2 linked regions of the Macaca mulatta genome follow. The protein of the gene in region 1 interacts with the protein of each later gene in a pairwise test. Links are inferred from orthologs where the notes say so. Each region holds a gene or a part of one and is shown on either strand. Other genes may lie near its edges.

Evidence for each region. The genes of interacting proteins can lie anywhere in the genome.
Region 2: the proteins of FHL2 (region 1) and DCP1A interact in binary tests that used the Homo sapiens proteins (3 or more experiments, as listed by UniProt). The two-hybrid records come from large-scale screens. The link is inferred for Macaca mulatta from reciprocal best matches to the Homo sapiens genes FHL2 and DCP1A.

Annotation. Positions count from the first base shown.
Region 1 is NC_133418.1:13,465,278-13,469,876, reverse strand, and holds the end of FHL2 (four and a half LIM domains protein 2), read left to right. Parts: intron 1-1,905; coding exon 1,906-2,092; intron 2,093-3,933; coding exon 3,934-4,085; 3' UTR 4,086-4,542; downstream 4,543-4,599. UniProt on the Homo sapiens protein: May function as a molecular transmitter linking various signaling pathways to transcriptional regulation. Negatively regulates the transcriptional repressor E4F1 and may function in cell growth.
Region 2 is NC_133407.1:116,924,311-116,928,909, reverse strand, and holds part of DCP1A (mRNA-decapping enzyme 1A), read left to right. Parts: intron 1-167; coding exon 168-208; intron 209-2,766; exon of another isoform or gene 2,767-2,786; coding exon of another isoform or gene 2,787-2,827; coding exon 2,828-2,955; intron 2,956-4,599. UniProt on the Homo sapiens protein: Necessary for the degradation of mRNAs, both in normal mRNA turnover and in nonsense-mediated mRNA decay. Removes the 7-methyl guanine cap structure from mRNA molecules, yielding a 5'-phosphorylated mRNA fragment and 7m-GDP.

The DNA of each region.
Region 1 (4,599 bases):
CACAAAAACCTTCACGCCAGAAGCATCCATTCCTCGACATGAACTTGGCCCTCTCAGGCACTGGGGATCCGATGCTGGACAAGATGCAGACACTTAACTGCAGTCTAGCTGGAAGTACACTCCAGTGTCAAACCCGTCAGTCGTTACTAAGCAGTGTGCTGTGGAGGAGAAAGGCAGAGTGTGGAATGGAGGGACCTCAACTCATCTGAGGAGTCGGGGGCCAGGGTGGCGTTTAGGGAGGGAGTCTCTGAGAAAATCATGCTATGCTGAGAGGCATCGAGTTAGCTGATGTGGGTGGGAAGCATGGAATCCGGAGTGAGGGAGGACTGAGGACATATGTTGCAGGCAGAGGAGACGTCTTACACACACAGGCTACTGATGCATACGGATGCGTTGCAACCAAGCGTGTTTTGTGTTCATTCTGTTGTGCGGTGGGGTGGGTTATAGGAAGATGCTTTATGATTCATGGTTTAATGAAAAGAATACAAGATAGAAGGGAGTCTGGAATTCTAGCTCCTGCTTTGTCATTAACCAGCTATGAATTCTTCAGCAAGTCACTTTTTAATTTCTCTGAGTCTCAGTTTACTCACCCATAAAATTAGTATCTTTCTTACTTCACAAGCTTTATGTAAAGACCAAAGGAATTACGGGATGATACTGAAATGTTCAAAAAATAAAAAGCAAAAAAGCGTGACTGTGAGGTGCTTGCACTCCATCTTCCATGGCCTTCGTTTGCCAAGCTGAGGCCACCTACACTCCTTTGATAGCTTACTCAGCTCCACCAAGCACGCATTTGTAAACAGAATGTGAGATGCAACATTTGGAGAAAAATACCAGGTAAAATTGAGGTACTGATGGCCGTTCCACCTTGTGTGGCTTTGCAGCTTCACCTCACAGATGTTCTGAGACCACAAGACGGGTGAGAATGAAGGCATCTGGCTGATTTTTCCCAAAACTTCCAAGATGCCCATATGCCCATATCTTCTTGTGGCATCCGCAGGTGCCAGTCCCAGCTGTCCTTTAAGCCTTTTCCTTCTTTCACCGTAAGTGGCTGGAGAGACAGGCTCATGAGTGGCATTGGAGAGGTTACCACTTGCCAGGGTTTTTGTTTTGTTTTTGAGACCGAGTCTTACTCTGTCACCCAGGCTGGAGTGCAGTGGCACGATCTTGGCTCACCGCAACCTTCGTCTCCAGGGTTCAAGCGATTCTCCTGCCTCAGCCTCCTGAGTAGCTGGGATTACAGGTGCACCACCACACCCAGCTAATGTTTTGTATTTTTAGTAGAGATGGGGTTTCGCCATGTTGGCCAGGCTGGTCTTGAACTCCTGACCTCAAGTGATCCACCTGCCTCGGCCTCCCAAAGTCCTGAGATTACAGGCATGAGCCACCGGCCCTGCCAGGCTTCTAAGTAAGGACTCCCCATCAACTTGCCTATTTAACATCATCACCCTCACTTCCTGGATGAGAAAACTGAGGTGCAGAGATCTTTATTATGACCTGCTCCCAGCCACAGGTCTGGTAAGGAGTAGGATTAGGATTCAAGCCCACGTCTCCTTGATGCTGTCTTCAATCCCGACCCCTCCACTGTGCTGCTTCCCTGCTCGCGAAGGTGGCAACGCCACTGAGGTGCCCTGTGCCTTAGATCTCCAGCATCCCTGGGAAGGGCTGAGGGCAACCCCCAAGCTCCAGTTTCACTAATGGGAAAGCCAGGGCCTAAGACACTGGAATGAAAGCGTGTGGCGAGGGTAACGAGTGACTGTGAGGTTTGTAAAGCAGCTTCATGGTGATGTTTAACAAACTGGACGTTTTCTGAATGAGGATCTTGCATCGTCCAGTGGCAGTAGTGAGACTGAAGATGTCTTGCAAGCAGAGAGACCACACTAACTCTCCCACTCGTCCCTGCAGCCCATCACCACGGGAGGGGTCACTTACCGGGAGCAGCCCTGGCACAAGGAGTGCTTTGTGTGCACCGCCTGCAGGAAGCAGCTGTCTGGGCAGCGCTTCACGGCTCGCGATGACTTTGCCTACTGCCTGAACTGCTTCTGTGACTTGTATGCCAAGAAGTGTGCTGGGTGTACCAACCCCATCAGCGGTGAGTGTCCCGGGGTCCCCACTTCGAAGAGGGATTGGAAGCTTGAACAAGGCCTAGCATTTTAGCATGTGACCCTGTCTATATCCCTAAACTTCCCAGACCTCCCTAAGGCTCTGAACACAGACTTTTCTGCCTATCTGCTTTCCTCTCCTTGGTGCACTGGCTATGCTTCAGCAAGTAATGATTACTTCCTCTGCAGCCCACCGGATCACAACCATATGGCCTGTGCTCTGGTTTAGTTTCTGCTTTGGGTTGGATTATCTCTAAAACTGCAGCCTGTGAGCCTGTAACACCACATAAGCACAATAAAAACTGGCCTTTTCAGGCTTAGCAGCTGTACTGTTTTCTTAGAAGTGTCCCCTAGCATCTTAGGGGGACGGTTGTACTCCAAAGCATCTTAGTGGGAAATTTCTGCCACAAGGCCACAGCTATATGAGGGCAGAGGGTACATTCTAAGGAGTTTTTCATATTGTATTCCCCCAAATGATCTGGCAAAGTGAGAGCCCAAAATCTGGCTGGCCGGCAGACCAGGCTTCTGGACTAGACTATTAAGCAGGCTGGAGAAATTCAGTGTGGAGAACAGATGACTTCACACTAAAGTCCTTTAGATGGTCACCACATATCACTACACAAATTAGTGACTGGGTGGGGAGAGAAAAGTGTGTCTTCTATAATAACACAGGAGAAGTTTTATGATGTGGGATTTTCAATCCCACTGCATTCAGTGGAGTGGTTCTTCCCTATCAGAGGAAGGTGGCAGACACATGGAGTACCCGGTGGTCTGGCTTTCCTATGTGGCTTTTCAGTATCATTACAGAAACACATCTATACACCCCCTGTGTTCTTGTCCTTGACTTTCTTTTCCCTCAGGCCTAGAACGAAGTTCACCTAACTGAGCTAAATCACCTTCCCAGGTCACTAAAACAGTTCTCTCACGTATAATGCAGAGCTCATTACATTTCCATGTGAAATTAAAATATGAAGAAAAGCATAGTATTTACAGTTTACCTATGTTAAAATATCTGTTTCTGGTCCTTTATGCACCACATTTCCCTTGGAATCATTTAGGGGGAAAATGCAATCTTTTGCCAAACATATTCATCTTTAATGCTGTTTTCAGCAGTAACTTCTGTTGAGGTAAATGTTTATAACATTAAGCTTTATAAAGTGATACAATCTATATAAAAGCACTTCTAAATGTAAAACGTTAGATATGAATGTGAATTGCGGTTATTGTAGCACTGAGAAAAAACACTAGGTAAAACCAACTGTATTATAATCAGGGACCAATGTACCTTAAATATTTGATTCCATTCTGTCTGTCTGCAGCTTTCTCAGGATCTTCCCGCTGCAACAATATTCCTCTGCCCTCATTCCTACCCACATCGTGCTTTATCTGTGAGGCTTTTCCTGGCCACCCCAGGGAGGATTAACTTTTCCTCTTCTACACTCCCTTCGGTGCTTCAATCATTAAATCACACAAATTTGAGCACCAGGCAACATGAGGCACCTAGTGAAGGCATAAGAGAAATCTGCTTCCTGTTCTCACAGAGTTTCATTTTGTGGGAAAACACATAACAAATACAGTCAGCATTCTTTGACGCACTTATCACATCATTTTGGAACCAGTTTCTATCTCTCTTCTGATATTCACGAGATCCTCCAGGCTGTGCATAGAATCTGATTTATACATGGATTCCCAGCACCCATTCACTAGAAGTTCACACTATCCATATTACACAATCCAAACTTTGAAATGGATCAAACCACAATTCCTTCTTCAGTCCCAGTTGCCTGATTCTAATTTTCTTCATCCGGTATTATTTTCTCTCTGTTAACAGGACTTGGCGGCACAAAATACATCTCCTTTGAGGAACGGCAGTGGCATAACGACTGCTTTAACTGTAAGAAGTGCTCCCTCTCACTGGTGGGGCGTGGCTTCCTCACAGAGAGGGACGATATCCTGTGCCCCGACTGTGGGAAAGACATCTGAAGTCAACATGGAGAAGTTGCTGCTTGTGATCTCACACACAGATTTTTATGTTTTCTTTCTCACCCAGGCAATCTTGCCTTCTGGTTTCTTCCAGCCACATCGAGACTTTCTTCTAGTGCTTTTCAGTGATACTCACGTTTGCTTCAACCCTTTAGTGCTTTGTGCTAGTTCAGTCCCAGGGAAAGAGAAAACTCGCCCTAGGCCCTAGGTGGGAAGATGGTTTGAAATTTTTGTAATCGAGTAAGGCACACCCAAATGTAAAAATCCTTTTGAATGATGTCTTTATAAATCTTTCTCTCACTGCCTATTTAAGTGCAATTAATGTATGCCACGAACTTGAAAGTTTTCTAAACTCAGTAAGGTAATGACCAATTGGTATTTACAGCTCTGTAACTTCCTGTTGTGTCAAGTCTAAACCAAGATTATGTGACTTGCAATAAAGTTATTCAGAACAAAATCTTTTGCCAGGCACAGTGTGTGAAATCATGATTAAAGGTTGAGGCACTGAGTCTAA
Region 2 (4,599 bases), on another chromosome or scaffold:
ACAATTTGTGGAATGAGAGGGAGACTTTATCTGTTCCAAAGTGGTTAATTTTATAATAAATGAAATGAAACAATTTGATCTTAAACGTGAAGCATTACTTCTCCATTGGGACTGTTTGGGGTCTGATTATGGGGAAAAAAAACTAATGGACTCATTGTCTTTCATAGGAGAAAACTGATATAGAAGGGACCTTATTTGTATATCGAAGGTAAGTTTTTAAAATATGTGTATTTGTTTTTAACAGTTTAATGGTGAACAATGTCAAACGGTTCAATTCTGTTGTACATTTGTCTTTGGAACCTTCCTGCTAGTCCCCTTCAAGTTTTCATCTTTCCCTAGCTGTGAAATCTTAACCAGGTTCTTTCTTTTCTCTGAGCCTTTCTGTGATTCAGAATAAACTGAACTAGAATTTATATTAAAAGTCTAGCAAAGCAATTTCAAAATAATAATGATTGAGTCTAAAACAGATACCTGCCTCTCTCTCCCTACCCCCATATTAGAAAGAAAAAAAAAAAGATATATATTTGGGGAAAAGATAATACATAGACTAGCTCTGTAAAATAATGTTTTTCATTACCTCTGTTGTTTTATTACTGCATGGGTGGTTGTCTTTTATGACTGGTTCTGTCCTCTTTCCCAACCCCCAGAAGTTCTAGATTTTGTACAGTGTCTTGTTTGAGAGTTCTTTAGAAAGCTTGGATTATGCATAATGGCATATTTTTTATTTTTAACTTATTCAAAAATTCATTATGTTTAAGATTGGTTTGCAAATTGCAACTGTTTTGTTAGGCAGCTTCTGGGGCCTAAAGACAACTGACAGTATATGATAGTCATGGGGTGCTTGTTTTCCTGGATTCCTCTAAGGTCTTACTCTGACAAGGACAGGTTCCTTCCCTTGTTTTCTAAAGCTTGAGTCAGCAGGAGTTATTACTGATATCTGGTCTTCTCCCTTTTTTTTTGCATTGAGTTGCTTTTTAAGGATTGCCTTTCTCCATTGATGCCAATTTAAAATAATTTGTCAAATACTCTTCCAAATTTTGATACAAAGCCTTGAGATCTTATCTAAATGCACTCCATTTTTTTTCTTCTTTTAAGTGTAATTCTTTGATATTTGTACACCAAGCTCTTCTTTCTTAGACACTTTGTTTGTTCGCTGCTATTCATCTTTCTTCTTTTAAAAAGAAAGGGATCGGCCAGACGCAGTGGCTCACGCCTGTAATCCCAGCACTTTGGGAGGCCAAGGCAGGTGGTTCACGAGGTCAGGAGATAGAGACCATCCTAGCTAACACGGTGAAACCCCATCTCTACTAAAAATACAAAAAAATTAGCTGGGCGTGATGGTGGGTGCCTATAGTCCCAGCTACTCGGGAGGCTGAGGCAGGAGAATAGCGTGAACCCAGGAGGTAGAGCTTACAGTGAGCCGAGGTCAAACCATTGCACTCCAGCCTGGGCGACAGAGCGAGACTCTCATAAAATAAATAAACAGATAAATAAATAGGAAGGGATCTTTACCCTCACTCCCTTCATTACTCTTCATTAGCAGTATAAATCTCTAGAAACTCTGTTATTAGAACCTTAGTTTCTATGATATTTGGAAAAGGTACTTTACTGGGTTTATTGTTATCATACAGAGGCACTGATTATAGAAAGTAGGAGATTTAGTGTAGTGGTGGCTGGATTTAATACAATTCACGGAGTCTAATATGGTACTGATTCTAATTAAATGAGACGCAAGAAACTGTGTTTGGAAAATGTGAGACTATTTTGTGTACCTTGGATAAAGGTATACCAGGATGTCAGACTATCACTTTGCAGAGATTACTTCGTATAGTAGAAGCTTGGATTTGGAGTCAAAAAACCTGAAACTGAATCCGAATTACATTATTTGTAACTCATTATTTGTGTGACCTCAGGCACAGTCCTTAATCATTCAAAGCTTGTCTTCTAGTCTGTAGAATAGTGTTAACACCCCATATATATCGTAGAGAAACAAACGAAAAACTATGAAATGTTAGGTACATGTGAAGAGTAAGGGATCATATACCGAATCCCTCTGATACGGGAACCAAGGATGTTTCCTATTGTAGGATTCAAGGCATTTTCTGTCTAACTCAGGAGCACTATGTAAAGATCTGTTTGGTGCAAGAAAAACCATTATTGTAATGATGGGCAGCCATTATAGCCAATCCAATGGAATGATATTTCATTCAGCAACTGTGTGTCTATATTGGGATGTATGTGTGAAAAAAGTAAGACAAAAGCTCCATTTGCATGGGGCTTACATCCTAGTGGGGGCAGGACAATTAATATTAAAAATAAGTAGTATGGATAAAAGAGAAAGGTTAGAGGTATTGAGCTTGGGAACATTAAAAAGGGTAGTTCAAGTAGGCCTCATGAAAAAGGTGACATCTGAACAAAGGCTTGCAGGAGATGAGATAGCTGTGCAGCTTCTGGGGCAGTAATCCAGGAAGAGGTCTTTAGGTAGAAGCACACATGCAGAGAGAGTGGCAAGGAGCCCAGTGTGGCTGGAGAGGAGGAGGTGGGGAAGAGCCATAGGAAATGAAGTCAGAGGGGGAATACATCAGGTGGGGCCTTGGTGGCCTCAGTAAGGACTTTGACCTTTACTCTGAGAGACTGTCTTTGGAGACTTCTCATCAGAGGAAGAATATAATCCGACTTAAATGTTTTGTTTACAGGTGTAAGTGCTTGATAATATTGTATGTTCTAACGTATTCTTTTCTGAAATGAAAATAAAGCACATAGTAGATAACATTTCTACAGATTAAATGGTAACTGCATATTTTTTTTTCCTTCTATTAAATCTAAGGTCAGCTTCCCCTTACCATGGTTTTACCATTGTGAATCGACTAAATATGCACAATCTAGTTGAACCAGTGAATAAAGATTTGGAATTTCAGCTCCATGAACCATTTCTTCTGTATAGAAATGCAAGCTGTGAGTATATCTGTTTTATTATAGTTATTACATTTAAAATCGAGTGACTTTAGTTTCTATCAATCCATTATTTAGTAAGTTTCAAATTACAAAACAAAATATGGCCTATACTTTATGATTATAAATGAGTCTGTTAGAAAGATCAGACGTTTTAAACTGGGCTCTGAGACCAGACGTGGTGGCTCACGCCTGTAATCCCAATACTTTGGGAGACCGAGGAGGGCGGATTACCTGAGGTCAGGAGTTCGAGACCGCCCAGGCCAACATGATGAAACCCCATCTCTACTAAAAATACAGAAAAAAATTAGCCGGACTTGGTGGTGGGCACCTGTAATCACTTGAACCTGGCAGGTAGAGGTTGCAGCGAGCCGAGATCGCGCCATTGCACTCCAGCCTGGGCAACAGAGTGAGACTCTGTCTCAAAAAAATAAATAAATATACTGGGGTCTGAAACTAGAAACATTCTTTTGTATATAATTTTGTTTACTATTTCGTTTACTAGCACTACATTTATGTTGTTGGTTTATTAAAATAAGGTTTATGCCTTTGTTTTTTTGCAGCTGTGGACTATCAGCTGCCCACATCCCTGAGCAACAGAACTTAGTTTGGGACACACAGGATGGGAGCAGATACAGATAATTCTTTCCACAAAGAAAGTATTATTTTTGCCCAGAATAGTGGTGGTGGGGTTTTTTTAAAAGATATTTATTACTTTTTCTACTTTATTTTGTCTGAATATGTTTCTAAGTAGGGTTTTTCTATCTGTTTATTTAATTGAGTGTCTGCTGGTTACCAGCACTGAGCCAAGAGCTATGGTGCTTTAATGTTTGTAACCTATGTGCTATAGGGAGGCAGTTAAGGCAACTAAGACTCAGAGATGCAAAACTATTACTCTGTTGGAGAGTTAGGATTATAACTCTTCTGCTTTTTAGTCCAGGGTTCTTTCAGGCATTTTTACAGCCTCTAATGATAATTGGATGCAGTCAGCAAAGCTAGATTGGCCCTTCCAAGAAACTACAGTACTAAAAAGTGTACTTGATTCCAGTGTGTTGGTATGGATATTGAAGGTATGGGTGTTTGAGGACAGTTTGTTCTACATTGACTATAGGGGGTATCAAAACTGGTTATGGTAATAATTGTGCTCTAATTATCATTTAAGGATATAGTTGGAGAAATGTTGCTTCTAACTTAAAAAGTAAAAGTTAATGTGTTTGAATTTCACTTGGCTGAGAAGTAATTGGTCTTGGGGGATGTCTTCAGTATAAAATAGAAAAAGGTTACTAGAAATTATACACCTCTTAATTCCCTGAATGAGAAGTAACAAGGCCTATTTTAAAGCTAGAAACCCCCAAGTTCTTTTCCGTAGCACACTTTTAAGTATAAGTGAAACAGTTTCTGTCTTTTGACTTCTCAGTAAACTATTTTTCCAGGTAATTACCTCTCAGATTTTAAATTCTGTGGCCATATTAGACATGCTTCGTAATACCTGTAAGTTCAGATGGATTTATTTAAACTAATGTTAACAGCATAATTATTTCAGATTGCTCTTTTCTTTGGACTGAATATTCCATTAAAGGGAAAATTCAGCTGGGTACAGTGGCTCACACCTGTAATCCCAGGACTTTGGGAGACCGAGGCAAGCAG